Linked DNA regions of Oryctolagus cuniculus. The protein of the gene in region 2 binds, or shares a complex with, the protein of the main gene of each other region. Links are inferred from orthologs where the notes say so. Each region holds a gene or a part of one and is shown on either strand. Other genes may lie near its edges.

What was found.
Region 1: the proteins of CCND1 (region 2) and AMBRA1 are in contact, whole or in part, in a cryo-EM structure (PDB 9IVD), measured with the Homo sapiens proteins. The link is inferred for Oryctolagus cuniculus from reciprocal best matches to the Homo sapiens genes CCND1 and AMBRA1. Residues at the interface, in NP_444284.1 of Homo sapiens: Thr286, Pro287, Thr288, Asp289, Val290, Arg291, Val293, Asp294, Ile295; in NP_001354397.1 of Homo sapiens: Arg54, Ser55, Phe57, Val73, His75, Arg96, Thr97, Trp99, Leu116, Ala139, Arg184, Ile945, Asn1012, Asn1029.
Region 3: the proteins of CCND1 (region 2) and CDK4 are in contact, whole or in part, in a crystal structure (PDB 2W96), measured with the Homo sapiens proteins. The link is inferred for Oryctolagus cuniculus from reciprocal best matches to the Homo sapiens genes CCND1 and CDK4. Residues at the interface, in NP_444284.1 of Homo sapiens: Leu6, Cys7, Cys8, Glu9, Val10, Thr12, Ile13, Ala30, Lys33, Ala34, Thr37, Phe108, Lys112, Met113, Glu115, Pro118, Leu119, Thr120, Ala121, Leu138, Gln139, Glu141, Leu142, Val145, Asn146, Lys149, Trp150, Asn151, Leu152, Ala153; in NP_000066.1 of Homo sapiens: Gly45, Gly48, Leu49, Ile51, Thr53, Val54, Arg55, Val57, Ala58, Leu59, Arg61, Arg62, Ala65, Phe66, Asp76, Val77, Cys78, Ala79, Arg82, Ile87, Val89, Asp129, His132, Ala133, Asn134, Cys135, Ser285, Phe287, Arg288.
Region 4: the proteins of CCND1 (region 2) and CDKN1A are in contact, whole or in part, in a crystal structure (PDB 6P8H), measured with the Homo sapiens proteins. The link is inferred for Oryctolagus cuniculus from reciprocal best matches to the Homo sapiens genes CCND1 and CDKN1A. Residues at the interface, in NP_444284.1 of Homo sapiens: Met56, Ile59, Thr62, Trp63, Glu66, Val67, Glu70, Glu92, Lys95, Lys96, Ser97, Arg98, Leu99, Gln100, Leu101, Ile126, Tyr127, Thr128, Asp129, Ser131, Arg133, Glu136, Gln139, Met140, Leu142, Leu143, Asn146, Lys147; in NP_000380.1 of Homo sapiens: Ser15, Lys16, Ala17, Cys18, Arg19, Arg20, Leu21, Phe22, Gly23, Pro24, Val25, Ser27, Gln29, Leu30, Asp33, Cys34, Asp35, Leu37, Met38, Cys41.

What each region holds. Positions count from the first base shown.
Region 1 is NC_091432.1:19,383,109-19,390,552, reverse strand, and holds part of AMBRA1 (activating molecule in BECN1-regulated autophagy protein 1), read right to left. Parts: intron 7,070-7,444; coding exon 6,886-7,069; intron 6,241-6,885; coding exon 6,068-6,240; intron 3,116-6,067; coding exon 3,049-3,115; intron 2,494-3,048; coding exon 1,040-2,493; intron 1-1,039. UniProt on the Homo sapiens protein: Substrate-recognition component of a DCX (DDB1-CUL4-X-box) E3 ubiquitin-protein ligase complex involved in cell cycle control and autophagy.
Region 2 is NC_091432.1:3,245,097-3,253,312, forward strand, and holds the start of CCND1 (G1/S-specific cyclin-D1), read right to left. Parts: upstream 4,812-8,216; 5' UTR 4,664-4,811; coding exon 4,466-4,663; intron 3,257-4,465; coding exon 3,041-3,256; intron 2,573-3,040; coding exon 2,413-2,572; intron 369-2,412; coding exon 220-368; intron 1-219. UniProt on the Homo sapiens protein: Regulatory component of the cyclin D1-CDK4 (DC) complex that phosphorylates and inhibits members of the retinoblastoma (RB) protein family including RB1 and regulates the cell-cycle during G(1)/S transition.
Region 3 is NC_091442.1:60,317,866-60,326,018, reverse strand, and holds CDK4 (cyclin-dependent kinase 4), read left to right. Parts: upstream 1-1,510; 5' UTR 1,511-1,515; coding exon 1,516-1,763; intron 1,764-2,217; coding exon 2,218-2,454; intron 2,455-2,607; coding exon 2,608-2,743; intron 2,744-2,860; coding exon 2,861-3,028; intron 3,029-3,185; coding exon 3,186-3,295; intron 3,296-3,534; coding exon 3,535-3,585; intron 3,586-3,722; coding exon 3,723-3,858; intron 3,859-4,093; coding exon 4,094-4,186; 3' UTR 4,187-4,464; downstream 4,465-8,153. Other genes in the region: TSPAN31 (tetraspanin-31), read right to left, coding at 5,015-5,089, 5,185-5,298, 5,546-5,674, 5,997-6,077, 6,280-6,447, 6,940-7,002.
Region 4 is NC_091436.1:132,892,663-132,898,872, forward strand, and holds the end of CDKN1A (cyclin-dependent kinase inhibitor 1), read right to left. Parts: intron 5,802-6,210; exon of another isoform or gene 5,675-5,801; intron 3,330-5,674; 5' UTR 3,319-3,329; coding exon 2,874-3,318; intron 1,438-2,873; coding exon 1,388-1,437; 3' UTR 93-1,387; downstream 1-92. UniProt on the Homo sapiens protein: Plays an important role in controlling cell cycle progression and DNA damage-induced G2 arrest. Involved in p53/TP53 mediated inhibition of cellular proliferation in response to DNA damage.

The DNA.
Region 1 (7,444 bases), about 16 Mb from region 2:
CGATCAACTACACCCACTCTCTTTCTTCCATGAAAGATTCTTCTTCCTCATCCCAAGGTGAATGTTCAGCTGGAAGGTTCATTCTAAGAATCATAACAATTTACATATATGTGTGTGTGTATTTGTGTGTGTGTGTGTGCGTGTGTGTGTGTATATATATATATATCTTTTTGGGGCAGGCATTTAACGTAGAGTCTAAAATGTCCACATCCCATACCAGAGTTCCTGGGATCATTACACAGCTTCGCTCCTGATTTCAGCTTTCTGTTAATGCAGGCCCTGGGAGGTAGCAGTGATGGGTCAAGTGACTGTGTTCCTGGCACATGGGAAACTGGGATTGCGTTCCTAGCTCCCGGTTGGGCCAGCCCTATTGCTAGCCACTGTGGGCATCTGGGGAATAAACCAGCAGATAGAAGCCCTCTGTCTCTCAAATAAATAAATTTTTAAAATTCACCTTTTCTTGACATAAATGCATGTTGTCTTTTTTTTCTCTTTGTCAAGCTGCAGTGTTCCAAAAGCTAAGGATTAAGAGGTGAACAGCTATCCAAAGCAACACAAAGAGCTGGAACAATATAGTAATCTATATCAAGCAGGATTCTTTTAGTACTTATTCCTAGATACTCAGACATTTTCTTGTCCCAAAATAACTAGTCCTGCAAATAAAATCTTTCAAGAATGCCCAAAAAATAAAAATAAAAATAAAAATAAAAATAAAATAAAATAAAAACCCGGCAGAGGAAGTCAATGGTTCCATCTCCTCATGCCTTCTAACCTAATCAACACCCTCCTTTCAAGGCTAAACCCAGAGCCTTAGGCTTAGCCAGAAATAGATATAGCACAGCCAACTGACTCATATAGCTAGGCCCTTTCCTATCTCTGCCACCAGAATAAAATTTTCCGAAATGATGCAATGGAGACATCCAAACCAGATGCATGGGTCCCAGTCATCCAGAGACAGCCACAGCATCTACAGGACTGCAGGCAGAGGTGCAGGGAGGCAAGGAAAGGATGCAGGAGCCGACAGGAAGCCACCGCTTACCTCCTGAGGGAATCTTCCTCAGAGCTTTCCTCAGGCAAGTCCTGATGTAAGGCCTCCTGTGACACAGTTCCAGGTCTGCTGGACTGGGTGTAAATTCTTTCCCAGTGGCCTGTCTCCTGGTTAAAGGCCACCCCCACAGTCCTCTCCTCCTGCGGACTAGCAGAGCTGCTCAGCTCCAGCCTGCTGGAGCTGGGTGTTTGACCCTCAGTCCGCTCGAGAGGTGGCAACTGGCTGCCACTCGACGGCATGCCCTCAAAGGTACTGGGGACCTGCCAAGAGGACGCAGCCTCACCCGAGGAGTAGCTGGGTGTGGTTCTTTCCCAGCGCAGGGTATCGTTGTTGAAGGTCAGGAGATTGTGGCAAGCACGGCAGCGGTTCAGGTGGCCACGAGACAGGCTGGAGTTGTTCTCACTGCTGTGTGGGGTGGGCTGGTGGGAAGGGCCTGGCCTTTCAGATTCAATGTTATTGTTGAGCATTTCCTGGGCCTGCTGGGTCTGGGGGGCTTCCCCACTGAGGCTCTGATCCAGCTCCTGAAGCCGATCGTATTCCAGAAAGAAGCGTCTCAGGTCACACTGGAGCTCATGGCGAATGCTGCCGGAGTTGTTCTGGCTGGAGCCACTCCCTCCTTCTGACTCAGTTGCCAACCCTGAAGTTGGAAAACCCCTCCCTTCTGTGGCTGAAGTGTACACGGATGCCTGAGAGCCACCTTCCTGCTGCCTCAGCACAGACAGTAAACTCACCGAAGAGGCACTGGTCCTGGGCGGGGGCATGGATTCCGCCTCAGAGCGGGAGTTCAGACTGAGCACTGTCCGGGTCCACTCAGATCCAGTCAGCCCAGGAGCTATTTCCCGGTGATACCTAGAAGGGTGGCTAGACAGAGGGCCTCCCAAAGAGCGCCGGGTGGGACCCAGACTGAGGTTGCGGAGCGTGTTGCCGGCAGTGCTGCTCTGGACTGTACTGAAGGCAGACGGCCGGTTCAGGAGGCCCTGGTCCTGCTGCGTTGACGAGGCCTGCTCCGGGGGATGGAAGGGCTCGGTCTGTACAAAAGAAAAGGAAGGGGTAGTAGCCCTGGCAGAAGCAGGGGGGACACTGTCCTGGTGTGGCAAGAGGGAAGGAACTCGAGTGCCAGAGCAGCGGCTGCAAAGGCACAGGATCCCGAGGTGCTGGCAGCACTCAGCTGTGGGGTAACTGACCCGCTGTCGGAGCCTGATGTAGGCGGAAGTCCTGGGACGCTCCGTGGAGGACTGAGGGGGAGGCGGTGGGGGTGAGGGGGTAGCAGAATCTTGCACTGTGCTTTGCTCTCCCACCTGGATGCCAGAAGAGCGAGAGGACAGCATGTGCAGGAAATTGTGCAGGAGAGGCGTCCGGCGAACGGGCTGTGACTGCAGGAGGGCACGCTGACGGTAGTGGGATAGTTCTGTTCCATCCATGGGGATCTCTGGCTCATCGTCACCCTGCAAATGTGGACCAGCATGGGGCAGGCGTACGGCAAGGCAGTTAGGTAGAACTTCCAAGTCAATCCAGAAAAATTAACTACTGATAATCAGCCAAGGACAAACAACCTTCACAGACAGGCAATAATTCTCTACCCCTGAAGCAGAGAGACCTAACTGGCTTCAGATTCCGAATCATCATAGGGTATTAAACTAGTCACTTCCAATGAGCAACTTATCTGAATGAGTACAGCTGGCAAGCCAATTCTCTTATGAAAGGCATCTCCATGATATGGAGGTAGTGAGTGAAGCCAAACACCAACCAGTCCAAGGCATATGAATGACAAGCCATCCAACAGTGCCTGGTGACTGCAATGGTTACTTCTAGGTGATCACTTCCAGGTTTCACAACTGTCTCTCATGTTAGGATTATAGCTGTAACTTTAAATATACAGCCTGAAGCTAATTTAAATCTCGACTGGAAAGAAAGACTTGGGCACTGAGAATTAAAATCCAATATAATCAGAATTAGAACACAAGGTTAGAAAAAAAGCTGGGACTGCTAGCATAACTTACCTGCTGATTAGAGGGGTTAACAATTGCTGTAAGTAAGTAGTGTCCAAGTGGATCAAATCTCACCAGACTGAAATCACAGAAGAGACAGAGACACACATAGAGAGATTATGTCAACTGAGAAGAGGAAATCTGTGTTGGAATTTATAGCAACCATTACCAGGAATTATGAGATTACTTGGGTATCCACTTCATGTAAGACTTAAAATTTTCAAGAGATTAAAATAATAGGGCTTGAAGCCGGAGCTGTGGTGTAGTGGGTAAAGCTGCTGCCTGCAGTGCCGGCATCCCATATGGGCACCAGTTCAAGTCCTGGCTGCTCCACTTCCAATCCAGTCCTCTGCTAATGGCCTGGGAAAGCAATAGAAGATGGCTCAAGTCCTTGCGCCCCTGCACCCAGGTCGGGGACCTGAAGAAGCTCCTGGCTCCTGGCTTTGGATTGCAGGCCAGCTCCAGCCGTTGTGGCCTTTTTGGGAGTGAACCAGTGGATGGAAGACTTTCTCTCTCTCTCTCTCTCTCTCTCTCTCTCTTTGCCTCTGTCTCTCTGTAACTCTGCCTTTCAAATACATCTTTTTAAAAAATAATAATAAGGCTCAATAAGAAGACCAGAGTAAAATTATTTCACTTCTGAAAACCCCCTGGGGGCCAGCACTGTAGTACAATGGGTTCAGTTGCTGCCTGCAATACTGGCATTTCCTGAGTGCCGGTCTGAGTCCCAGCTGCTCTGCGTCTGATCCAGGTCCTTGCTACTTGGGCCCCTGGGAAAGCATGGCCTCCCATTCTGCAAGGATGGCCCAAGTATTTGTGTTCCTGCCACCCATGTGAGAGACACGGTGGAGTTCCAGGTTCCTGACTTCTGCATCGCCCAGCTCCAGCTATTGCAGTCATTTGGGGAGTGAACCAGCAGGTGGAAAAGTCTCTCTTTCACTCTGCAACTCTACCTTTCAAATAAATAAATTTGCTCCTCATACCTAAGAGCAAACGGTAAAGCATGAAATGTTCCCGTGTGCTGCCACAGGTTGTTCTTCCCTCAAAAAGCAGTCATACTGGTGACAGTGAACAGTCTCAGCATACAGTAACAAAGCTGAACGTAGAAAATTAACTTATAACCAACTGCAATACCAACACGGCCAAAGGAAGACAAAGCATCAACTTTAATTCAGGCAATATGTGTTTTGATCTTGAGGGTTAAATAAATATTCATTAGCAGAGCTGCCAGACACATGCTTACAACTCCTTCTTCCAGCTGGATAAACACAGACAACCAAAGATGAGTTATTATCCACAAAGCTTTCTAAAATACTACCCAAACCACTTTCAGGTTTCCTCAAAGAAAGATCCCAAATGCAGCCAGCTTTGAACCTAAAAAAGATTATAATGGGGAAAGGATCTGGCCTACTGGTTAAGATACCACCTGGGATGCCTGCATCCAATGTGGACATGCCTAGGTTCAAGTCCTGGCCCCACTCTCAATTCCAACTTCCTGTTAATGCACACCTTAAGAGGCAACAACTAATGTCTCAAGTAGTTGGGTTCCAGCCACCCACATGAGAGAATCAGATTGAGTTTCTGGCTCCTGGCTTTGGTCTGGTCCAGCACTGGCTATTCCAACCATTTGGGGAATGAATCAGCCAACGACAGATTTCTCTCTTTGCCACTTAAGTAAAGTAACAACCTCTTTAAAATTTAAAAACACATTATAATGGAAGTGGATATTTAGTCTAGCACTTAAGATGGGCTGAAGTGGTGGCACAACAGGTTAAGCTATCACCTGTGCTGCTGGCATTCCGGATAGGTGTTGGCTTGAGTCCCGGCTGCTCCACTTCTGATCTAGCTCCCTGTTAATGAACCTGGGTAGGCAATGAATGATGGCCCAAGTATTTAGGCCCCTGATGCCCACTTGGGAGACCTGGATGAAGTTCCAGGCTCCTGGATTTGGCCTGACCCAGTCCTGGCTGTTGTGGCCATTTGAGTAGTGAACCAGCAGATGGAACATCACCCTGTCTCTCCCTCTCTCTGTAACTCTGTTTTTCAAATAAAATAAATCTTAAAAAGGAAGAAAAGGACTGGCGCTGTGGCGCAGCAGGTTAAAGCCCCAGCCTGCAGTGCCGGCATTCCATATGGGCGCCAGTTTGAATCCCGGCTGCTCCTCTTCCAATTCAGCTCTCTGCTATGTCCTGGGAAAGCAGAAGATGACCCAACTCCTTGGGCTCCTGTACCAGTATGGGAGACCCGGAAGAAGCTCCTGGCTCCTGGTTTCAGATCAGCTCAGCTCTGGCCATTGTTGTCATTTGGGAATAAACCAGCGTATGGAAGATTTTTTTCTCTAACTCTACCTATCTCTGTAATAAAAATAACTCTTTTAAAAAAAATAAGATGGTCCAAGTACTTCGGTCCCTGTGGGAGATCCTCCAGATCCAGCTGCTGCAGCTATTTGGGAATAGATAGAAGACCCCTCTCTCTCTCTCTCTCTCTCTCTCTCTCTCTCTCTCCTCTGCCTTTCAAATAAATAAATAAATCTTAAAAAAAAAAAAAAAAAGTCCACATCCAAAATCAGAGTATCTGGGTTCAGTTCCCAGCTCTGTCTCCTGATTCCAGCTTCCTGCTAATGCAGACTCTGGGACGCAGCAGTGATAACTCAAATGACTGAGTTCCTGCCATCCACACGAGAGCCCTGGACTGAGTTCCTGGCTCCCAGCTTCAGCCCCAGCCTCTGTAAGCTCTGCGGGGAGTGAACCAGCAAATGGGAGCTGAGTCTCTGTGTGTCTCTTTTCTCTGTCTCTCTCTCAAATAAATAAATAAATAAAATTGGTTATATTCCTTCTAGTGAACGTGGTCTACAGAGACCTAAGTTGGGGCCAACAGGGACAGCTGAAATGAACATAAACTGCTTCCAAGACAATTAGACAGATGACCAGAAAGCAGGAGGAACCAGAGGGATAGCAACCCCCCTGAAACAGAGACAAGCAGGTGGCAGCACGTAGAAATGTTCTGTCATGTGAGTTCTGTGCAGAGCACTCACCGGACCCGTTCCATCTCACTAGCTGTCTTCACCACTGCAAATGGCTCCCGTCGACTCCAGTCCCAGAAGTGGATTTCATTGGCAGTGGCAATCAGCAGGAGCTGAGCCGTGGGGTGGAAGGCCAGGGAGGCAATGGCATTGTTGCTGTCTGTGAACCAGCTTTCACTGCCACCCTGTGAAAGAACCAACACCAAATATTCTCAGGTTTTAAGTTGCCAGCAGAGGGGAACGTCAATCTCAAGAGAGGTGCAGTTAATGAAAACTACTTGTGGTGTCTATTTTAAATACATCCCCTGTAAAGCAATGCAGATCAGTGAAATGGCAGGGTTACTAATTTATCAGATAAATGTAACTGTAAGGCCAGTTCTTCAAGTCATCTGTAATCCACAGCACTGAGCATAAACAAGGTTATTGTTTTTGCAGGTCTGCAAATACTCATGCTTGGTGCACAACTTGGGACAGAACAGACTTTGGGAGGCAGCAGTGATGGCTCAAGTGACCCGCTAGCCAGTTACCAGGGCACAAAACATCTTGCTTTGATGCTCCCGATCAGAGTACAATACAATCTTTGCTCTGAAACAACAGAAATCCATCCATCCTAAACACATCGTAGCGCCTCTTGTACTCTGGAACAATGGGTATTCACCTTAGAACAGAGGAACGTGAGCTAGACTTTCTATCAATTAACTAAGCAATGACTGCCACACTCAGATGTCCAAAGAACCTGGCTGTCTCTTTCTCAGAATAAAGGACCCGACAGCAATCAATCTTATGCATTTAAAAGATCACAGAAAATAGTAGCCAAAGGAAACACTTACATGTAAATCCCAAATCCTAACCTCCCCATCGAGGCAGCCAGAAGCAATAAGGCCTGAGATGGTGGGATGAAACGTGACACACCATGGCGTGCGGCGGTGCCCGATCAGAGAGTGGACACATTTGCCGGTCTTCACCTCCGTAATGTAGATATTATGGTTCACATGAGTGGAGGCCAAGAGAGTCCTACAGAATTAAAGAGGAGAAGTGAATTGAGAAGTATGTGGAAAGTTACAATCTTATCAGTTTTGGACATTATAGAAAATTGGTATTATTCCCCATCCCAGCATGAAAGATACTAATCCTTGTACATAGGCAGCATATCTACAAATAACAGAAGTGTTCTGATCTTTAAGAGCTTTTAGCTTTTCCCTGCTGCCCCCAAATGGTACATACCAGCTTCAGAGAATATTTTTTCCAGCTGAGAAAACTATCATATCATTATCACAAAGGCAAGGGACTATTTTCACTAAGAAATTCTCCAAGTTTTGATCCTTGAGGTTCATGGTTTCCTTTGCTTAGTCCCATTACAATTCTGGTTAGCTCTGCGCCTCTACTTTC
Region 2 (8,216 bases):
CTGTCCCCATGCCCTGAGACCCAGGTGCCGCCAGACAGGGGCCAGGCAGGTGCACATGAGACGGCATCCAGTGGGGACACTCCCAGAACCTTCCAGGGCCGCCCCCCTAGGATGACCTGGGCCCCCGCCGGGGGAAACTGTCCCTGACCGGCCAACAGCTCTGCTCTGTGAGGGATTCCCCTGTGAAGAGAAGGGGGGCCGCCCGGGGCTGCCACTCACCGGGTCACACTTGATCACCCTGGACAGGAAGCGCGTCAGCCGGTAGCAGGACAGGAAGCTGTTGGGGCTCCCCAGGTGCAGGCCTTGCACGGCGGCCACCACGCTGCCGGCCGCCACCATGGACGGCGGGTTGGAAATGAACTTGACGTCTGCAGCAGAGGGAGAGGGAGGGGGCCCGTGAGCGGGGGGTCTCCCCCGAGCACTGGGCGCAGCCTGGGCTGCGGGCGGGACAGCAGGGGACATGTGCTGTGGCGCTCACAACAGGTAGTCCAGCCACTGTGTAGGGCGGGCGTCAGCCCCAGACCTGCCCCTCAGGGGACCACATCCCGGAGGGACCGCCTGTGCAAGGCACCAGCCACCCTCCAGGCCACTGCGATGGGGCCTACGGGTTCCGGTCCCCCCGGCAGGGCTGGGCTCGGCTCTCCCGGCCACCTTGGCTGGGTAAAGCCAGCCCCACACCAGGCCCTCGGCTCAGGTCGGGTTTTTGGCCATTGCCCACCACCAGCAACGCTGGGCCCAATGCCCTGGACGGCCTGGGAGGCGGGGGTGGGGGACCCCAGGGATCAGGGTCCAGGAAAGAGCAGAGGGCTGTAGTGCTGCCCCCACCCTGGGCGCCCCTCTGCGGGCCTCCCTGCCTCCTGTGTGCTCACTCTGCGCCTGGCAGCTGGCTGGCCCAGGAGTTACTGGTGAGGGGCCCTGGGCTGGAGCTGGGCCAGGCTGTCCCCGCCTCCCTCCCTGGCCCCCGTGGCCACGGGGCTCAGGGGCGCAAGACCCCTTCCTGAACTGGCTTTGTTTGCAGGGGCGTCTTGACCTAACCCAGCCCAGCCCAGAGCAGTCGTGGGCTGTGCACTGGGCAGCCCAGCCCCCTATGCTGTGGAGGCCAGGGCCAGGCCCCGCTAGCTCCCATGGGGGCCGTCCCCCCACCTCAGCGGGAACCTGGACAGGCTGCACTCTAGCTGTGCCGCACGGGGCCCAGGCCTGCTGGCCGCTGACCGCACCCCAAAGGCGGGGCCTGTGCGGCACCCCTGCACCAGCTCGCCCGCCTCCCCACCAGCACCTGGGGTCCCGGCGGGGAGCTGTGGCCGCCATGTCTCCGTGCAGGGCGGCTGTGCGGGAGCCGGCCCTCCCATTATCTCCAGGGAAGTGTGTCTCTCCAAACCCACTTTCAGCTCCATAAAAGGCCGCCTACAGTCTGGGAGGCGGCCCTCGTGCAGCCCCGGCGGGAGACTGCCCGCCTGCCCGCCTGCCCCCGCGCCTGGCCAGGGAGGCCTCGCACGCTCAGGAGCCGGCTTCTGAGACCCCCCCGGCAGGACTGCGGCTTAGGGTGGGACACGGCTGCAGGCGGGAGGGGCCGGCCAGGAAGATGGCTGCGCCGGTCCGGGACTTGCTCTGGACCCCCAGGGAGGAGGCACACGCCAGATGTGGGGGGCTCCGTCCCCCTGTCTTCTGGGGTGACCCCTAGCCCGCAGGTGTGAGCCCAGACAGCTGTGATGAGGGAGGCCGGACCAGAGCCGGAGGTGGAGCCCAGCGCGCGGCGAGGGTGAGGCAGGTGGGCGATGCGTCTGTGCCCTCCCCCCACTGTCTCCAGGCCTCTGGCACTCAGCAGTGGGGCTGGGGGTTGCATGGGGGCGCAGCTGACCCCTCCAGGCTTCTGCAGGCGTGCAGGGTCTGGGGCCAGGGCAGTGCCACACCAGGCGCCAAGAGCAGCCAGGCCAGAGGCCCCTCCCAGGCTCAGCTGGGCTGGCCCCAGGCGCCCCTAGCGGGGCCTCAGGCGGCCAAGCTCCTCTGCTGGCCGCCCCCGCACTGGGGCTGCGCGCCTGCCACTGGCCACCCGAGCACGTGGTGCAGGCGCTGCCGGCCGCTCTCCCCTCCCCGCCCTTGTAGGCGCCCCTGGCAGGTGGCCCAGCCCGGGAGAGGCCAGGAGGGGCCCCCGCAGTCCAGGCTCCTTGAGGACACGGGGAGGGGTGGAGGTGGGTGGGGGCGGGCAGCCCGGCCGCAGAGGCAGAGCCGGCTGGGCACGCAGTGGTCACGGCTGCCAGGCGCGCCCAGCGCAGCACAGGGGGCCGTCGCTGGAAGAGGCCCCCCCCCGCCCCCAGGCAGGCTGGGAGAGCAGGCAGGCGGGGAGACCCCGGGGCCACCTCCCCTGGGCGGCGCGCGGTGGTGGGGCGCGAGGCCCTGGCCGGGGCGCCCCACCTGTGGCGCACAGGGCGACGAAGGTCTGCGCGTGCTTGCGGATGATCTGCTTGTTCTCTTCGGCTTCCGGCATTTTGGAGAGGAAGTGCTCGATGAAGTCGTGGGGGGTCATCGCGGCCAGGTTCCACTTGAGCTTGTTCACCAGGAGCAGTTCCATTTGCTGCGGGAGCGGGCGAAAGGCGCAGCGCGCGTCAGGAGCCGCACGCGCAGGGGTCTGCCCTCCGCGGGTTGGGGGGGGCCCTGGGGAGGAGGGCGGAACAGGGAGGGGCGCGCCCAGGGAATGCGGGGCGCGGTGGGGGAGAGGAACCCGCACACGGTCCCTGATCCAGACGGGAGGAGGCGACCGCGAGGCGACCTTGTGCAGGCAAGGACAAAAAAAGGCCACCTTCCGCCACCTGGAGCCCGAAGGCCGTCCGGGCTCGCGCCGCTAGGGGGCGCGCGCCGCCCACGCTTGCCCGGCCACGCCGCTGCCGGGCGAAAACTTGGTGGGAGCCGCGGACCGCGAGCGGCGGGCGCCGGCGAGGGCCGCCCCCAGCCCCGGCCCCGGCCCCGGCCCGGCCGCCCGCGCCTCTCCTCCCCGCGCCCGCCCAGCGGGGATCCCGCGGCCCGCAGGGCGCCCCCCGGGTACCAGCAGCTCGTCCGGCCGGATGGAGTTGTCGGTGTAAATGCACAGCTTTTCGGCGGTCAGCGGGATGGTCTCTTTCATCTTGGAGGCCACGAACATGCAGGTGGCCCCCAGAAGCTGCAGGCGGCTCTTCTTCAGGGGCTCCAGCGACAGGAAGCGGTCCAGGTAGTTCATGGCCAGCGGGAAGACCTCCTCCTCGCACTTCTGCTCCTCGCAGACCTGCGGGAAGACGCGGGGCCGTGACCGCCGCCCGCGCCCCGCGCCAGGGTCTCCGTGCCCGAGGGCGCCGGGCCAGGGGCCGGCGAGGGCTTCCCGGGGTGCGCTCGCCGCCACGCGCGTGCCTGGGGCCCACCCACCCCGAAACTGAAAGGGAAAGTCCCCGCGCGACCGGCGCGGACGCACGACCCCCAGGACCCCGGCCCGCGCGGGGTATCCGGGGCCGGCACCCGCTGGGGTTCGGGGGCTGGGGGCGGGCAGGGGGCCGGGGGCCTGGGGCCGCGGTGGCCCGGCGCAGCGCTCGCCCCGCGCCCGCGAGACACAAAGGTGGCGTCCCAGGCCGCCGCGCCGCATTTCCCCAGACGTCATCTTTTCAAAAAATATTTAAAAATATTAAAAAAATAACTGGGCGCGCAGAAGACCCCTGAAAATGACCCTCGGGCGGTGCTCTACCTGGGCCGGGGGCCGGGAGCCCGCGGCAGGCCCCGGGGGGAGCCCCAGGAACTCAAACTCGGGGACCCCCCCCTTCGCCTCGGGCGCAAGGGCACTGCGCCGAGCTGCGAGAAGCGGCTCAAAGACGCCCGCGCGCCCCTCGGGCCTGAGCACGCGCCCCAGGCCCCCGGCCCGCCCCGGGACGACCCCCGGAGCCGAGCCCCCCGGCGCCTCGGGGGCCACGCGACCTTGCAGCCCGGCGCGCCGCGTGGCCCACGCCGCCCATGTGGGGTGTCCCGGCGCCCGCCGCGGGGACAAAGGGGCTCCCCGGATTCCCGAGCCGGGTCCCTCGGAGCGGCCCGCGCCGCGGCCCCGCGCCCCTCCCGCAGGCTCCGGGCGGCCGTGCGGACCCTCGCGGCGGTCCCTCCGCGCCCCGCCGGCCGCTCCCCGCCCCCAATGATTAATAAACGCGTTAGCTTTGCAATAAAAGAGCAAAGATGGCGCGTAACACTGGCACGAGCGGCACTTGCATACGTGTCCGTGGGCATTCACCTAAAGATCCGACCCGCGCCCCCTCCCCCCGGGCCCGCGCAGGGCGCCCGGGCTGCACCCCGCACCCGCCGCGGTGGCCCCCGGCGCCGCCCCTCCCCCTGCGCCTGCAGAGGGGCGCGCTCCGGGCCGCCCCAGCCCCCACGCGCCCCTGCCCGGGTCGGAAGTTGCCCGCTCTCGGGGTTATTTATTCGGAAAACACGGATTCCGTAGCAGCGGCGCGGCCGGCACCTCCAGCATCCAGGTGGCCACGATCTTGCGCATGGACGGCAGGATCTCCTTCTGCACGCACTTGAAGTAGGACACGGAGGGCGCGCAGGTCTCCTCCGCCTTGAGCATGGCGCGCAGCACCCGGTCGTTGAGCAGGTTGGCGTCGGGGTAGGCGCGGCGCACGGCCTCCACCTCGGAGCACAGGAGCTGGTGCTCCATGGCCGGCCCGGCGGCGGGGTGCTGGGTGCGCGCTGGGCTCCGGCCGCCCGTCCGCTGCCGCGCCGACAGCGCTGTGCAGGCGCCGGGACTTTGCAACTTCCACAAAACTCCCCAGCAGCCCGAGTGACGCGACCGCTGTTCAGCGGAGATCAAAGCCGGGCAGAGAATGGGGGCGGGGGGCGGGGCGCGCGCGGGGGCGGGCGCGCGAGGGGCCGAGCCCGGGAGCCGTCCCGGAGCCGAGTGCTCATAGACATGCAAATCGCACCCCGCCGCCCGCCGGGGAAGCGGGGCGCAGGGCGGGGGCGGGGGTGGCCCCCGAGACCGGCGGGGTGGGGCGGGCGGCCACCCGCGTGGAGGGGGCAGCGCCACGAGGGCACCCCCGGGAGGCGCTCGCATCCCCTTTCATTTTCAGGAACACGTGTAGAATCGGGGCCCCGCGCGCTGGCGGGGACGCGGGGCGGCGCTGGTGCGGGGGGTCGGGGCCCACGCCCGTGGGGCGAGCCCCGCGCGCGGCAAGGGGACTGTGGCCCCTCACGCGTTCGCTCGGATAGTTAAAATACAGGCAGCCGCCCAAAATGGTGGCCGGCGCTGCCTCCGTCCCGCCCCTGGCGCCCGGGGCCGCCTCGTGTCCGCACCCGCCCGGCCTCGCGGGGGTCCCCCCGCACACCTCGCGCCCAGCACACGTGCGGCCACTGCGAGGCGGCCAAGCCACGATGCGGGTGCTGCTAACCGCCCCCCACCCCCCAGTTTTTTTAAATTAAAAAAATAATAAAAAAATCGCTGGGCACGGGAGTCGCTGATGCCGGGGACTACGTGCGACCCCCGGGCGCGCCCGCATCGGTTCTGGGGGCCCAGGGCGACCGGGGTGGGGGGGCTCGGAGTTTACCCTGGGGCCGCCTCCGTGGGCGACAGCGAGGAGTCGGCGCCACGAGGAGTCACGCGTCGGGCTATTTTGAAGCAGAAACCGGGCGTGCGTGGCCCCGGTCCCGCAGGGCAGAATGCATCACGCAGTGAGCGTAGTCTGTCCATTGGGCTCTTTGAGTTTTTTAAAAAGCTAAATGGACACTTTGCCCATTCTTGACTTTTTTAAAACTTTTTTTCTTTATTTTTAACAGCGCTTTCCTTAACTGGAGAAGCCCCGGGACTTCGGGGTGGCCCCGGGGGGATGGGCGCGGGCCGCGCCGGCCGCCGTTTCATTCATAAAATCGCAACGCGGCGGCGGCGCGGGCGAGCATGCGGCCGTGCGCGGGGCCCCGCGCGCAGCCCGGCGGGGCTCGGGTGGGCGCGCGCAGGCTGGCGGCGCGGGGCCCCGGGCGGCGCGCGCCCACGCGGGCCCTGGGCGCCCGCGGCCCCGCGGGGAGCCCGCCCCGCGCCCCGCGCCCCGCAGGAAGCTGGAATTAGCATGAGCCAATCGCCGCGCCGCGCTGTTACTAGGCGGACCCGGCAGATCTCCGCGCGGAACTCGGCGGCCGGCGCGGGCCAGGGACGGGCGCAAAAGTGCAAGCCGGGCCGCCGGGCGTGAGGCGCGGCGCCTGGGCGCGCGGGGCAGGCAGGCGGGGAGCGGCCCCGCGCGCACGGAGGCGGTGTTCAGCTTCTGCACTTATCGTCTGCCTCTCCAAATAATAACTTAAAAACTTTTCTTGCGGTGTCAGCGCCGCACTTGTTAGAAAAAAAAAAAAAAAAAACACACCACGAAGCTGGAGCTGCGCCCCGAGAGAGCTCTCGCTTCTGGGCGTCCCGTTGACTTGGAGACAAAGGGCCGGCGCCCCCCACCCCCGGGAAGCAGCCCCCACGTAACTCGGGACGCGTGCCCGCTCCCCCCCGCGCCCGAGCGCCACCGTCCCCGGCTGTGCGAACCTCTGTCCCGCGGCGCAGACCCCAGCACGCACCGCCCGGCGCGCGGCGCTGGGGACGGGGCGCGGGGCCCGGAGCCCAGGGGCCGCCCCGAGGCGGGCGCCTGCCCTTCCCCCCTCGGACCCGGGCGGGCGCGCCCAGGTGCGGTCACCTGCAGCCGCATACCTGGCAGCGGCTTCAAAGGGCTTGTTTGGCTCCAGCTCCGCGAGGTTTCCATTGTTAAGCCTTTAAGTCGCCCTGGAGGACGCTTCCGAAGGCAGGCCCCGCGGTTCCGGGGGCGCAGGGCTCCCCCACCCCCACTCGGCGCATGGCGGCCCACGTGCTGCGGACTCGGCCCGGCCAGGTCCCGGTGCCCACCCGGGACGGACGACGCCGCACCCCCCGCGCCGCGACCACCGCCTCCGATCAATTAATTGAAACCACACACAGACTACCCCGCTCCCTGGGCCCCGGGAACACGCGGGGCAGGCTGCGGGCGGGGACGGCCCTTTCCCGCTGTCCCCGGAGCCGCAGGCCTCCAGGGACGCCCACGGGCTCCCAAGGGGGAAGAAGCTGGGAGGGGGGGTTGGAGGCCGTGGGAAATCTCGCTCCTCGCCCCGCAGAACGCATCGCCAGGGGCCCCGTGAGCCACCCACACCCCGACGTCCCCAGGGGATCCCCAGATTCCGGCTCTGCACCCCCGCGCGGCTCGGACCCAGAGTGGGCGCCCACCTCCACCCCGCAGGCCACGTGCAGCCCTGGTGTCCCGCGGTCCTGCCGGGCTGGGCCGTCCCCGCGCGCGCCGCGAGGACGCGGGGCTCCTGGCCGCACTCCCTGGGACCCCTGGGGGCCACACTCGCGCTCCGGCCCTCGTGGGCTCCCGCGGCGCCCCCGCCCATTCCGGAGGCCCGGGGAAGGGTCCGCATTCCGCGCGCTGCAGCCCGCTTGCCAGGCCCCCGCGCCGGGGTCTTCGCTGAGGGTTTCCGGACCCTTTTCAAGGAAGTGGCGGAAAAGTCAACTTTTTCCCCAGATAGGAGGAGACTCTTGGCCTGCACCCCTGCCCCGAGGCCTCTGGAGCCCGCGTCGTGGGGGCTGGGAGGGCGGGCCGCGGGCTCGGGGCCCGTGGAAGGTTGTGGGCTCGCCGGGCCCGAGCCACCACCGCCTGGGCCGCGCTCGGTCCCCGAGCCCCGCTGGGGTGGCGGCGCCGGGCTAGAGGTGTCCCCACGAGGGCCGGGTGACCGTGCCGGGCCTGCGGTGCCACCACGCGAGCCAAGGGGAGGCGCGGGTGCGCGCCGTGCACCCTGCGCGCTCCCGCCGGGCCTCGGCTCGGCCGCCACGTGGTTGCCCTGTGCGCCGCGCTTACCGTAAGGCCTGGAGAAGGCGCGCACCCGCGGCCTCCGAGTGCGCGCGGACCGCCCGGGTGCCGGAGCCGCCTGCTCCCCGCGTGGCCCCGGGGCTGCCTTTTCTCGTGGTAGGGAGAGTCGTGGTGCCAGTGTGAGTCGGTGGGCAGTGTCCCCTGGGTGCGTCACGTTGAGGAACGCGACAAAACCGGACGGGCGACCGCCAGCAGCCCAGGAAACGGAGGAGCTGAAATGCCGGGAACTCCTTTAAATTATTTTTTAAAGATGCACTTACTTGAAAGGCAGAGGCTCCGAGAGAACTCCTGCCGGCTGGTTCACACCCCCACCCCTCACCCCAAATATCCGGGTAGGTGAAGCCA
Region 3 (8,153 bases), on a different chromosome or scaffold from region 2:
ATGGGCAAGAGAGCTCGACAAACTCCCACTTAGCCCAGGCTCTGGAAGGCTCACAGACCAACCAGCCCCTGCTTGGTAGCCATTGAAACCTTCACCTCTCCAGCCTCTTCGTTCGGATCTTGAAGTTTTCCTTACTGGTGTCCCAGCTGCCCTTGTAGCCAGGGCCCAAGCGTCGCAAGTATCCGAAGTGGAATGGGCACTGACATACTTCCATCTTGCCCTGACTCATGTGAACTCATCTTCAGGTCGGAACTCTTACATGACCACCAGAGTTGAGAACAGAACTTAGGGTGCAAGGAGTGGCAAATAGGGTAATAAAATGCTTACAGATTTTAGACAATTTCTCACAGACAAGATGCTCAATCTCTTTACTCCCATGTCCTCAAAGAGCTGGGAGATAAAGAAGTTGGAGCCAATAAGATAAGAAATCTACCTGTGTCTAGGTGTCTGTAGGCAGAGGCTATTTGGGAAAGGCTGTGTTCAGGGCGGTGATGAGCGCTAAGAAGGTGGTGTCTGGGGAAAAGAAAGCACAAGGCCCCCGAGTGAGTTACAAGGTTGGCAGGAGGCCAGAAGTCAATCTCGTGTATAGCAGTGGCCTGGGATGTTGGTGATGGTTATGGTGATCCCTCTACCTATTCATCTGAGGACAAAGGACACACATATCACATAGCACACACACACACACACACACACGCATCCACATATCACAGATTTGTAAACTCAACGCTGAAAAGAACCTTCAAGATCAAAGCCGATATTCCTGCCTCCTGCTCATCAATAACTTCTCTGCCTGACAGCACCCAGTCTATTGTAACACTCCCAGAGAGGGCTGGAAGCAGCCCGGACCGGGAAGAGAGGCAAGCACTACCTTGCCACAATTCCTGTTGGATTACTCTATTAACCTGCCTTCCACCCCTCTTCTAATTCCAGTCTGCCCTCAGATGGGCATTGTCTACTCCCTATAGGACCACATTTTATATACAGCCTTACCACTACTCCTAAGAGCCAGTGACGCAGACACCAAAACAAAACCCCACACACACACTGCAAGCAAGCGCTCAATGCAATTTTGTTGAATGAATGAGTGAAACAAAGACACAAATCCGATTGTTTTCCCACGGCCGCGGAGCCGTAAGGTGACAGCCCCACCTGCCACCGCCGACGCCCCTGCCCCCACCTCCCGCCAGCGTGGAGAGGCTGCGAGGCCAGCAGCCGGCCAGGAGCTCGGGTGCTCTGCCCTCAGCGTGGAGTCGGGAGCCGGGTGGCCCAGGTTGCCATGGCACCGCCTCGGACTCCACCCTCTCCCGTTCCCCCTCTCCCACCCCACCTCCCTGGCGCTGAGGTTATGGCAGCCAGTCACGTGCCCCGCCGCGTAACCACACCTCTGCTCCTCAGAGCAATGTCAAGCGGTCACGTGTGATAGCAACAGGTCACGTGGCTGGCATCCCCCCTCCGCCCCCTTTCCCCTCAGGGCCCCCCTCCCCGTCCAAGCCCAGCTCGGCCGCCCCTCTGCGCATGGGTGGCGGTCACGTGTCCCGAACGTCCGGCGCCCGCCCCGCCCTCCCAGTTTCCGCGCGCCTCTTTGGCAGCTGGTCACATGGTGAGGGTGGGGGTGAGGGGGCCTCTCTAGCCTGCGGCCTATGTCTATGGTCGGGCCCGGAGCGTCCAGGTGCCCAGGACCGAGCTCGGGTGTATGGCGCTGGAGGAACCAGCTCCGGGGCCCCGATAACGGGCCGCCCCTGCACCTCCCAGCCTGGAGTGAGGTAAGTGCAGCCCCTGCCCCCACTGGGGGCCAGTCCCGCCGCCGCCCCCTCCCCCCACAGCCGCTTCCCATGCGTGCGCTTCGCAGGCGATTTATGGGAGGGTCGCCCGCGGGCGAGAAGTGGGGCTTTTGTGGACGTGGGAAGGTGTAATTTCGGGGACCGGGGTGCGGGATCCTCGGCGCCAGGCGTGTGTATGTGTGTGATCTCCTTTGTGCTGGATGCGATGTTCCCAAAGGAAAGGGGGCTTTTACAAAGTGTGCGGCCTCACGTGGCTGGAGGGGTCGCTGTTGGAGTCATTGTTACCTGAGGCGCGGCGCGGCGGGCGGTCGCGGAGGGCGCGGGGTGCAGGTGGGGCCGTCTGTGCCATCCGTGTCGGAATCACTTTGTCCGCTGCCAGCTCAGGCCATCCCAGCTCTGGGAGAGCATGTGGTGCAGGGAATCTCTGTGTTCCTAGGGTCAACCCTGATCTGAGAATGGCTACCTCTCGCTACGAGCCTGTAGCTGAAATTGGTGTCGGTGCCTACGGGACGGTGTACAAGGCCCGGGACCCCCACAGTGGCCACTTTGTGGCCCTCAAGAGCGTGCGAGTCCCCAATGGAGGAGGCGCTGGAGGGGGCCTTCCCATCAGCACTGTTCGCGAGGTGGCTTTACTCAGGCGGCTGGAGGCCTTTGAGCACCCCAATGTTGTCCGGTGAGAGGAAGGTGCAGGGCCCGGAGTGGGCAGTCCAGGCAGGGGGGCTGTGGTGGTCAGGAGAGAGGTGGGGATCCTGGGGAGGTACACGATGAGGAGGCCATAGGGGAGTCAGAGGATCCTAGCTAGCGAGGGACCATTTGTTCTGGCCAGGCTGATGGACGTCTGTGCCACCTCCCGAACCGACCGGGAAATCAAGGTGACCCTGGTGTTTGAGCACGTCGACCAAGACCTAAGGACGTATCTGGACAAGGCACCCCCACCAGGCCTGCCGGCAGAGACCATCAAGGTAAAGGGCGGGGGCGGACACGGGGAGGTGGGTTGGGACCTTCTAGCAGAAGCCCTGGGCATTTCAGGCCTAATGCCTGGTTTCTTGTGTGTCTGTTTTTTTTCCCTTGCAAATCAGGATCTGATGCGCCAGTTTCTTAGAGGCCTGGATTTCCTTCATGCCAATTGCATCGTCCACCGAGACCTGAAGCCAGAGAATATTCTGGTGACGAGCAGCGGGACGGTCAAGCTGGCTGACTTCGGCCTGGCTAGAATCTACAGCTACCAGATGGCGCTTACACCTGTGGTCAGTAGAAAGATGTGGTAGCCAAAAATGGGCTCTGGTTGGGGGTAGGAGAAGGATTGCCCATAGCAGCTGAGAAATCATACTTTGTCCTTCCATCAGGCACTGGTGCTTCCCGGAAGCCCTGGGGGCCCTCACCTACTCTCGCTGTTTCCCTTAGGTTGTGACGCTCTGGTACCGTGCTCCTGAGGTTCTTCTGCAGTCTACATATGCCACGCCTGTGGACATGTGGAGCGCTGGCTGTATCTTTGCAGAAATGTTTCGTCGAAAGTATGGGACCCAAGTTCCCTGCACAACCTGAGTCCCCCGCCTTGTGCAGGAGCCACATGCATGCCTTGGCCATTTTTGTACTTGGGTGCTGTTCACCATCTTGCCCGTAACCAGCTCTGAGACGGAATCAGAGACTTCACATGCCTTTATTCCCCACACCCTCTAAGTCCCACTAAGCAGGACTCATGCCACCGCTGTCTCTGAAAGTGACTGCCACCTTGTATTCCTTCTCGCTCTAGGCCTCTCTTCTGTGGAAACTCCGAAGCCGACCAGCTGGGCAAAATCTTTGAGTAAGTGACCAGCCAGGGGGCAGAGAATTTTCCATTCTGAGTCCTCTCTCTGCTGAACTCGGAGTTAACCCACTGGCTCTGCCTGGGGACGGGAGCTGGAGAAGGACCCCTGTGACAGAGCTTTCGTGTCTCCCTAGCCTGATCGGGCTGCCTCCGGAAGACGACTGGCCCCGAGATGTGTCGCTCCCCCGAGCGGCCTTCTCCCCAAGAGGGCCCCGCCCAGTGCAGTCGGTGGTGCCGGAGCTGGAGGAGTCCGGAGCGCAGCTGCTGCTGGTACGTGCGGGCGTGGGGCGTGGGTATGGGGCGAGACTGGGCTGAGAGACGGCAGTATGTCCGGCCCCAGCCCGTGGTGGTTGAGGAGCAGTTCTTATTGCTGTTGGGAGTGGCCAGGTGCAGAGAGGGATACACAACATAGAGAATCCATCCCCAGGTCGTGTTGGGGACAGTCAGGGGAGGGAGAGAAGTCTTTGTGCTCCACGGTTTTCTGACCTTGGCCTCTACCCCCTAGGAAATGCTGACTTTCAGCCCACACAAGCGGATCTCTGCCTGCAGAGCCCTGCAGCACTCTTACCTCCACAAGGAAGAAGGCGGCCCAGAGTGAGCCGTGGACACCGCCAGCCACGCCCTTCTTCTGGACACTAGGGTGGCGAGAACCCCACAGAGAAAACCGCTCTGCCTCGTCTCTGCGGCCGGGCAGACTCCGACTTTTTACAGAGAATATTTTGCTACCTTGATGACATTCCCTTCCCACCCCTCCTTTCGAGGCCTATCTTCCTGCCCCCTGTTTCTCTACACTAAGGGGTATGCCCCGTCTTTCCCCCTTTCCTACCTTGATACTGGGGTCCTTTTTTATACAGGAAAACAAATAAGACAAAGAAATAAGGTCTTTTTTTTTTTTAATGTTTCTTTCTCTGATTGGCTTTGTCACTGGGAGATCTGGAGAAACCATGTGGAAGAAGGGACTTCCCTTAGCCCCTTAAAGAGTGTCCTGAAGTTAGACCCAGGGCCTGGGCAGCCACACAGAGCCCCTGCACTCACAAACGTGGAATTGAAATGGCTTTTATTTTTATATTCACTGAAATGGCTCAAACTGGGTCCTGTTTAGGCGTTCTTGGTGGTTTTCTCCTTGGCTCTGCCCCTGATTGACCTCCAGAGCCCAGCATGTGGGAAGGTGAAGAGGGGAAACAGCCCCGCCCCATGCACTCCCTGGAGCTGCCTGCATCCACTTGGGCAGACAGAAAGCTTTCTTTCTAGCCTGCAGTCTGGCTGCACCCAAGTCTGTCAAGCCCTGAAGCCTCACTGTTGAGTTGTTCTCAGGGGATGTAGCAAAGGGCCCTTCCTTTTTCTCAAACAAAAAGGGGCAGCAGACCCTGGATTTTCCCTAAGGGAAAAAGAAAACGCAGGAGAGCAGGCAGAAGGGGCCAGAGTCTCACAGGAAGGCACTGGGGTTGGCGCGCGGATCCTTCTGATTCCGGAATCTCATCGCTAGCCAGACACCAAGGATCTGTAGGGACAAGAGGAGCCACGAAGGCACGGTTCAGTTCTGAGAGGGTCAGACCTGCAGAGAAGGGGTGTACTTGAGGGAACGGGAGACTGTACCTCAGTAAAGCTGAAGAAGAGTCCCACGCCCCCCAGAATTTTCAGGGCTTCATCTGAATGCCTAAGGAGCTTCTCTCCACACATGGGGCATGCGGAGCTCCTGTTCTTGCAGATCTGAGGAGAAGGCGTGTGTTTGGAGAATGCAGAGACGCTGAGCTGCCTTCTCCAAATGTCTGGGGTGGCCACCCCTAGGAATTACTAGAATCTGACCAGTATCCTACAGCCTAGAAGCCCATTTAGCTAAATCTCCCCTCCCCCACCAGCAGTGCCTGGACACAAGGGAATTGCTAGAAAGAGGGGCGGTGGCATTCAAATCTGCCGGTTTCCTGCTTCCTCCCCGCTGTGCCTACCCCCAACTCACAGCATTGCAGGAAGTATCGTCTTGATACATGGTTGTGAGGTTGAACAAGCCACAACAATCAAAACTTCTTTCCAGTTCATGTCGGGTTTTGTTGCTCATGACCCACCAAGAAGCATTGATGACATCTGTCTGGAGGGTAAGGGCAGAGGGAAGTTCAGCTTCCCTACATCGAAGCTCAATTGAAGTGCCCCAGTTTCCCCGTTCTAGCAAAGGGAGACAGCATCGCTCTGGAGCACAATGGTGTCAGTTACAGACAATGATAGATGACCACCTTGGGTTCTCTAGATTGTCACGGGAAATTAACAGACATCCCAGAGGAAGCAAGTGCTTAAGTGCCTGGAAGCAGTGGGCCAAAGGGTGATGTTTGGGTAGTTGGGGCCAGACTAACAGGGAGAGCTAAAGGTTAAGGAAAATCGAGGACTTGAGAAGGAATCCCACTTGCCCCCTTTACCTGTTTGCTTCGGTTAATAGCCAGACATGAGCAGGAGATTCCAAACTGGAAGATGAACACCAAACCAAGGATGATCATGTACTGAGAGTAAGAGTTACGGAAAAGACCGAGGTTCCTTTATGCTCCATCTAAAATAACCACCTGGTCTTACAGACTTTTATATGTTCATGTCAAGTTGAAAACAATGAGACCAGCATTTGTGTCACAGATTATGGTCAGAGCCCTGAGGTCCCCCAACTTCTCCCAAGAGCTGGGAGGCCCCCATCACATCAAGTCAGGATACAAAGAAGAGCAGGACTTGGTGGTGGTTGACAGCACCCACCAGTCCGGCCACTGCAATGAGGAGAAGGAAGACTCCCACAGCAATGACTCCACCGATGATGTGGATGCTGGACACCAGACCCAGGCCCTTACCCCAGGCGGCCACGCCAATCAGCAGCAAGCCCACGAGCTACAAGAAACAGCAGCATTCATCTCAACGAGGCCTGGCATGCAGCACGGTGGATGGCAATTACAAGGGGGCCTAGGCAAAATAGGAGATTCAAGTTTGTGACTGGGGGACGAGGTGCATCCCTGGGCGCTCCTCCCAAAGGAGGTCAGGATGGCGCGAGGAGACCGCATAGTCTCTGAGCGTAAAAACTGAACTGGCCGCGTGGTCCATGATTAACATTCTGGGGAGTAACAGGTTCACTAAAGGGAGGGGTGGCACTTCATACACACAGCCCTGGCCCTGTTCCCCACCCACCACCCTCCGAAAAGACCCCTCACTACCGGAAGTCTACCCTCATCCACGGAAGTCCCCAGGAATCCCCCTCTTCGCCGGAAGTTCTTGAGGCTCTTCCCGGAACCCCCAGTGCACCCCTCTCCCCACCGGAAGTCCCCTGGAGATTCTCGCCGCTCGCCTCTCCCCCCGCTGACGCTTCCCCCACCTCGGAAACCTCACCATGTAGACCACGTTGAGCGCGCACAGCGCATTCTTGGAGCAGGCAAAGCCGCCGCAAACCATTGCCCCAGTGCTGGGGACCCAAGCGGTCCCAAGGACTCGGGGGGAGGGTATTACGAGCCGTCTTCTAGGTGCCCGACAGCTTCTGTCTCTTTAAATCCAGGCCAGCCAAACCCAATTCTCTGAGCCTGCACCGTCCCACCCCCTGCCTCTGGATTGACGGCGCCCGCGGCTAATCCCGGACGTCTGTGGCCTGAATGCCAATCAATCTACATGACGTCACCGAACCGCCTCCCGGCCCCTCCTTTAGATTCTTCATTGGTTGAGCCTTAACACTGGAGGCAGGGCTTCTGGAGTCTCGTAGAGACCGGAGCCGAAACTTCCAAAGCCCGGGTTGAAAGCGGAGTTTCCGCGGCTGTGGTAGGACTGGAGGGAAGGCTGATCCGAGGCAAGAGTCTCTAGAGAAGCTCCGGTGAAGGGAGAGAGAGGAAGTGAGGCTCCGAGAGCCTGGCGAGAGGGCTCGCCCCTCGAAGGAGGGCGCGTCCCCGCCTCGTTCCCCTTGTCCGGCGGTGACCTCATGATGACGCCACCGTCTTGCTGCTATTGCCTCACTCGTGGGAACACCCGAAGGAGCCGGAGATTGGACCACTTAGCCTGGTCACGGAGACCTCGAGTTGAGGCCGTCTTAGGTTTGTGCGTCCTCTGGTGCACATGTTCCGTTCCCCGGCGCCTTCCGACGGGCTGCGACGGAGCCAGGAATTCAGGGTGGGGAACAGCGGCCTGGAGCCAGCAGAGTCCTGGGAGTGACCGAGCCACAGGCGCACACGCAGGGCGGGCTCGACCGCTCCGGAGCGCGATCTTGATCCAAAGCTGGCAAAGGGACGAAGCTGGGAGGCGAACGGGGTCTCCACGTTTTTACTTCCGAGACAGGCGTGGCGGCTGGTTGATAACTGACTAAGCGCTTTGACACGCCATCCTTTCCATGCCCCCTCGCTGTCTTAGGAGAAAGCAGCGGTTTGGGTGGCGACAGCCCAGGGAAGCCTCCGACCAGCCCCGCAGAGTGGCTTAGCTTGTGCGCGCTTGCGTTCTGAGCAGCACAGCTTTGCCACTGGTGGCTGTGCGACCCCGGGCTGGGGACTCCAACGCTCCTTGCCTGTTCCCTCATCTGCAGAGTGGGCTTAGGGAACAGGACAAGCACCTCTGGAGTTCTGGTG
Region 4 (6,210 bases), on a different chromosome or scaffold from region 2:
AATTATTTTTAAATGATAAAAACATCCCCCCAGCCCCATCTATTTGCTTTTATAAAAGACAAGGTATAATGACCACAACAGCAATGCACAAGTCATTAAGAAACATTTATTGAGCACCTGCTGTATACTCAGCACTGGGGGAGGGGCTGTGAAGCATAGAGGGACATGCAGGATGTGGTCCCTGCCCACGGGAGGTGTGAGGCCTAGGTGGAGAGACAAGGGCACTAGGACACGTGGGGAGTGGGAGATGTCCCAAGAGTGAGCTGGAAGGTGTTTGGGGTCAGAAGTGCCCAGGGACTCAAAGCCCCCACTCTCGGAGCCATAGCGGCCCAATCCGTGTGCCCTCGACAGCCTCCCCTGCCCTGAGCTGCTCCTTGTTCAGCCGCTACTCAAAGTGCAATGAAATAAGGAGGGACGGGTTAGATATGGGATGACTTCCGGGGACTGGGGTCTCCCTCCTAGAAAACCCTCTGCCTCCAGCACCCCCCTACCCACACAGATCCCACTAGAGGAGGCCTGTCCACAACACTGGACCCCACCTGTAGCGCTGCGAAAGGCCGACCGGGCAGCCCTGCTCCTGCCACCTGCCTGCCTACCTGCCCGCCCTTCTGGGCTGCGCTACCTGGGGCTGCGAGGGCGCCGGAGGGGCAGGACGGGGGTAAGGGAGAGCAGGAGACAGGGCTGGGCAGCCGAGGCCCCAGACAGTGCGTGGGAGCCCAGAACGGGATGCACCACGGGGCGGGGCGAGGCTGCTTCGGGGACCTCACCTTCCCCCAGCCTTCCCAGGACAAAGGGGGCATCATGGGCCAGGAGGGCACAGAGCCCCAGGCCCGTGCAGGCTGTGCCCATCTCAGAGTCACCTGCCCAACCTTAGAGGAGGTGAGGGGACTCCAGAGCTTCCGATGACGCCACACCCCTCCTTCAAAGTGCTATCCACGCCCTTCTCAAGGAACTGGGTCTGAGAACGCAGGGGAGGGCTGAGGCTAGGGGCAGGAGCCGGGCCCCAGCACCACCCACGGAGGAGGCAAGGATGGCCGCACGGGCAGGACAAGGCAACTGGCCCCGAGCCAGCACCAGCTCACCCCTGGGAGGGAGGGGACAGAGACAGCACAGGGAGGAAAAAGGGTTTAAATAACAGTTCATATAATAAAAATACCCAGCACTCGGGCGCCTATCACTCTACTGCCTAATTTCTTTTTAAATAATTCTAATGCCGGAGGCTGGGGGTAGGGGCTGCCAGAGTATGTACACAAGGAGGAGTTTAAATTAAAACACAAATAATAATTAAGACACACAAACTGAAGGGCAGATGAAGGCAGAGATGTGCAAGGGGCCTTCGGGGGGCCCCCCTGTTGTTTCCAGGAGCCAGCAGCCTCTGGCGGGCGGATTACGGCTTCCTCTTGGAGAAGACGAGTCGGCGTTTGGAGTGGTAGAAATCTGAGAGAGAGAGACATGGAGTCAGCCAGGCCACGAGGGGGCGCCACTGAGTCACACGCCCAAAGTCTACTGTGCAGAGGCTGGGACAGCCTCCCCTAAGGCAGGGACACCCTGCTAAGGGATGGGGAAGAACCCAGGGAGCACCCCTGTGCCTCACTGATGTGACTGTCCATGAGTCTGGTCTGGGCCACACTGCCCTGAGCAGGAGCCGCTACTTCTACGTGGCTATTTCCGGGGACTCAAATCCAGCACAAGCAAAGATCTGGTTCCTGGGACGCAGGGACCCCTGCACTGGACAGGCCCGCCCCTGCATAGAACTCTGCTGGTCAGCGCTGTGGGAGGCAGTCCACCAGTCCACAGAAAGTGTCCTGGCCCAGGTCCACAGGAGTCATCATTGTCATCACCATCAGTTCAGACCCAACTGAAAATGGCCCACAGGACGCTCGTCTGCACCCCTCAGCCTCAGCTGCCTCACCTACAAAACGAGGCGTGGGAGTGCGCCTCCAGCCCAGCAAGGAGGATGCCTGCCTCCCACACCAGGGTGCCTGGCTTCTATTCCGGCTCTCACTCCCGACTCCAGTTTCCTGCTAATGCCGACTCTGGAATTCCGGGCAGCCGCTGATGGCCCAAGAAATCGGTTTCCTGCGTTCCATGTGGGAGACCTGGATTGAATTCCCAGCTCCTGCCTGCAGCCCCAACCCAGGCTACTGAGGACATTTGGAGAGGGAACCAGCAGAAGGAAGCTTTCTTTGTGTCTCTTGAATGAATAAGTAATAAATTGCAAATGAGGCTTCTCCGTGGGAGTGCACTCTAAGGAGGAAATCAATGGTCTCTCTAAAGGCTTTGGTCCAGGGCCCGGCGTAATAGGTGACCAAATGCCAGCATCACTCATTCACCTTTCATGGAGCACCTGCTCCACCAGACACTGCTCTCCAGGCTGGGGACTCCACAATGAACAAGAGACGCCCAGATCCCTTTTTTGTGGGGCTGATATGCTAGTGGGAGAGACGGCCCGTGTCAAGGTCAGAAGGAACAGTGGATCCAGGGTAGAAAAATGCCGACGAGGACACGGCGGATAGGTGGGGGGAGGGAGGGACGCGTGTGTGATGAGGGGAGGGAATAAAGTTTGCAGAGGCCAGAATGGCGCTACGGCCAGTGTCCTCTCCCCAGCACACGCCCTGCGCGACCTCAGGCCAATCTCTCCCTCTCGGAGCCTCGTCTCCTTGGAAGGGGAGCAAGATTGTCTTCAGTCGCTCAGCAAGGACTGCCGGGTAATAAATACGCCCTGGACAAACGCTGGCTACAGCCCTGTGTGCAGCCTCACCTAGGCGGCTTCCCTTCTCGGGGACAAGCTGAAGCAAACAGGACAGGTCCCGCATGGGGGGGTTCCGAGGGCCCCAGTCCCCCCTAGCATCCCTCCCCACACCCGACCTCACCTGTCAGGCTGGTCTGCCGCCGCCGTTTCCGGCCCTGAGAGGTACCAGGCCCGCCTGGGGACTCCTCGGGCCGTTCCGGGGAGCGAGGTACCAGGGTGCAGGTCAGCGACAGGTCCACGTGGTCCTCCTGAGCCGCTGGCAGCAGGGCGGCTGAGGTGCTCGGCCGCTTGCACCCTGCCGGGTCCTCCCTGCCACCCCGGGGCCCCGGGGCCAGGTAGAGCTTGGGCAGACCCAGGCCCCGCACGCGCTCCCAGGCGAAGTTGCCCTCCAGCGGCGTCTCAGTGACAAAGTCGAAGTTCCAGCGTTCGCGGGCCTCCTGCAGGCAGTCGGCCATGAGTGCGTCGCAGTCTCGGCGCAGCTGCTCGCTGTCCACGGGCCCGAAGAGGCGGCGGCAAGCCTTGCTCCTGTGCGGGGGCTGTGGCGCCTCGTCCGACGGCTGCGACATGCTGCCTAGGGCTGGGACAGTGGAAGGGTGGCCTTGGTGAGGACGCTTCCCGGTTCCCAACAAGGACTTTCTACCGCACCCTGGCTGGGGCGGGGCATCCACCCCCACCCCCCAACAGACCCCAGGTGGGGGCAGAACTCAGCCAGCCAGGCACCCTGACGTCAATGGGGGCATGGGCAGCACGGGGCGAGCTTATGTCCACAGCATGACCTCACTGCAATGGCCTGGCCGGGAGCAGGGTCCTGTTTGCCATCAGCGTTATCAGCTAAAATCAATTTGTCCTCCCCTGAGGTGGCCCTCAGGGGTGTGAATTGCCAGAGTCCAGTAGTTTCCCAGTGATAGTCCTGGCCAGGAAGTCGGTTCCCAGAGGGAGGCGTAGGCAGGGGCTCCTCCAGCCTCCCAACACAACCTCCCCCATCATTCCTGCCTGGAAAAGTGAACCCCGGGCTTTGGAGTAAAAACACGCAGGCTGTCATCCCAGCCCCACGGCTTCCCACGTAGACGTTGCATGTCTCTGGGCCTCCGTTTCCTGGTCTATGGAAGCTGAGAGAGTGCCAGGGTGGGGGCAGGAGTCCCTCCAGGCAGGCCGAGCAGCAGCAGGTGTGACAGGGGCTGGGTTGGAGGGCAGGCTCCGCGGGGCGACCCCGACCAGTGGCTTAGCGTCTCTGCGCTCCCCTTTCCTCCTCTCTAGGAAGAGGCCGGTGACAGCAACAGTCTCAGAGGTGGGGGACATGCTTGGGCAGCACCTGGCCAAGGCGCTGAGAAGACCGTGGTGTTAGGACGCCTCTGTGCCTGCAGCTCTGGCTGGGCCTCCTCCCTGCCTCTCCCCCTCCAGACGGCAGCTGACAGGTGCCGTAGGCTGGGGGCCTTTCCCAAGGATGGCATCAGGTGGGTGGCCTCGGGGGAAGGTGGGGCGGGGTGGCGGTCTCTCCCCCGGCTGAGCCACATCCTGCCAGGCACACCAGGTGAGCCAAAGTCTGGACCCTTCACAGCCCTGCCTGCCTCCAAGAAACCCGTTTTGTGGGCAATGGACATGAAAGATGGCTGGTCCACCCAGGCTGCACACCTCCCACTCCGGAAAAGTGAGGGGGAGTCTGCTCGCGAGGGCGCCCTGCTCTGGCCTGACTCCAGCTTTTCCTGGGGACAGGACCAGATTCACAGGCTCTGGGGGGGACAGCTCTGCTGAAGCCACACCTGCCACACCTACCCCACGGCCCCTCCCACCCTGAGCACAGCCCCTAGCTCCACCATGCAGCTGGCTGGAGAGGAAAGTCACCCAGTGACCTCAGGCCAAGTTCAAAGGGCAGCTGCTTTACGAGATGAGACTTGCATCCCAAACCGCACAGCTAGAAAGGCAAAAGGCCACTGCCCCCCAAACAGGTCCCACAGGGCAGCAGCCGCAAAGGGCTCCGGTAACCGCTGTCCACCCTCTCCAGGGCACAGCCATCCTCCAAAAAACTGGATTTGAATGAGCTCCTTTACAGAGAAGTGGGGACCAAGGCTGGGGTAGTCACTGAATCGAGGCCCGCAAGCGGTCATCCTGGGTTCCTGGCCCCCTTCCCCAGTTCTGAGGCCCACCAGAATCCCCACGGTTGGGGGGCACTTTTTAGAAATCTGCATCGACCCCCTATCCCCACCCGAGCGACTCAGTTCAAACAGAAGGGGATTTAAGTCGGTGTTTGGCACCGTCACCCAGCTAGGCCCTCTTGAGGTGCCAGCCAAGAGGGGAACACACTGGTGGGTCTGACAAGGACGCTGCGTGGGTGCCCCATGGGCGAGGGCGGGGGGCGGGACCGCCCCCTCCCACCAGCGCTGTCCTCTCCTGGGTCTCTCCTCCCCAGGCCACCGAGGGGAACCTCCCCGGGGATGCCTCAGGCTTCAGCCCCCAGCTGGCCAGTGAATCGTAGGGGCTCAGTAAGTGCTGTAGAGCCCACGGCCGTGGGGCGCTGCCTGGGTGGTGGGGGGAGGCTGCGAGCGGCGCCCCGGGCTCGCGGGGCTGGCTGGCCCTTCGCGCCGGGGCCGGCAGGGGGCGCCGGGCCCCAGGGTACTCCGCGTCGGAGGGCGGTGCGTGGGCAGGGCCCGGGCGCCGGGAGCGGCCGTGATGAGTCAGTTTCCTGCCCCGCGCTCCCGCCCGCCGGGACTTCGCTTCCACTCCGGCCTCGCGTCACCCGAGGCGGGGAGGGCAGGAGGGGCCCGCGCCGCAAACACGTCACGCTGAGCCGTCCGCACACTCGACTCACACACACACACACACACACACACACACACACACACACGCAGGGGCGCGCCGACAGGTAGACACGCAGAGACCGACACAGCCGCAGACGCACGGGTAGGCACATTGAGAGACACAGACCCCACGCGCGCGCACGGACACTCCGGGGCGGCGGACTCGGAGACGCGCGCGGCCCCTGCGCATGCACAGGCGCGCCGGGACCTGGCCCCTCCACCTTATCTCCACGCCCAAAGCACGGGATGAGTCAGATCCCTGGAAAATAAAAATAGACGGCCGCAAAGAAAACAAAACCGCTCGAAAGTCCTCCCCGAACCGCGACGTGGAGGGCGGGAACCTGGGAGGAAGGAGTCTCGGCGCCCCCGAGGGCCCGGTCCGGCCGCAGGGTCTCGGAGCGCCCGCGGCGGGGGGCGCGCGAGGGGCCGCTGCCCGAGCCCGTGCCTGAGCGCACCCCCACCCCCTGCTGCGCTCAGCCCAGGTCGGGCGCCCCGCCCGCGCGCAAGGCAGCCGCGCCCCCCGCCCCCAGAAGCCCCACCCGGCCGCGATGCGACCCCTCCTGACGGTCCCCTGGCCCCGAGCTTGGGGGCGGCGCGTCCCACTGCTCGGCGGTACCGAGCTCCGCTCTCGCCCGGGGCTCCAGGGCCGGGCCCAAGGGCAGG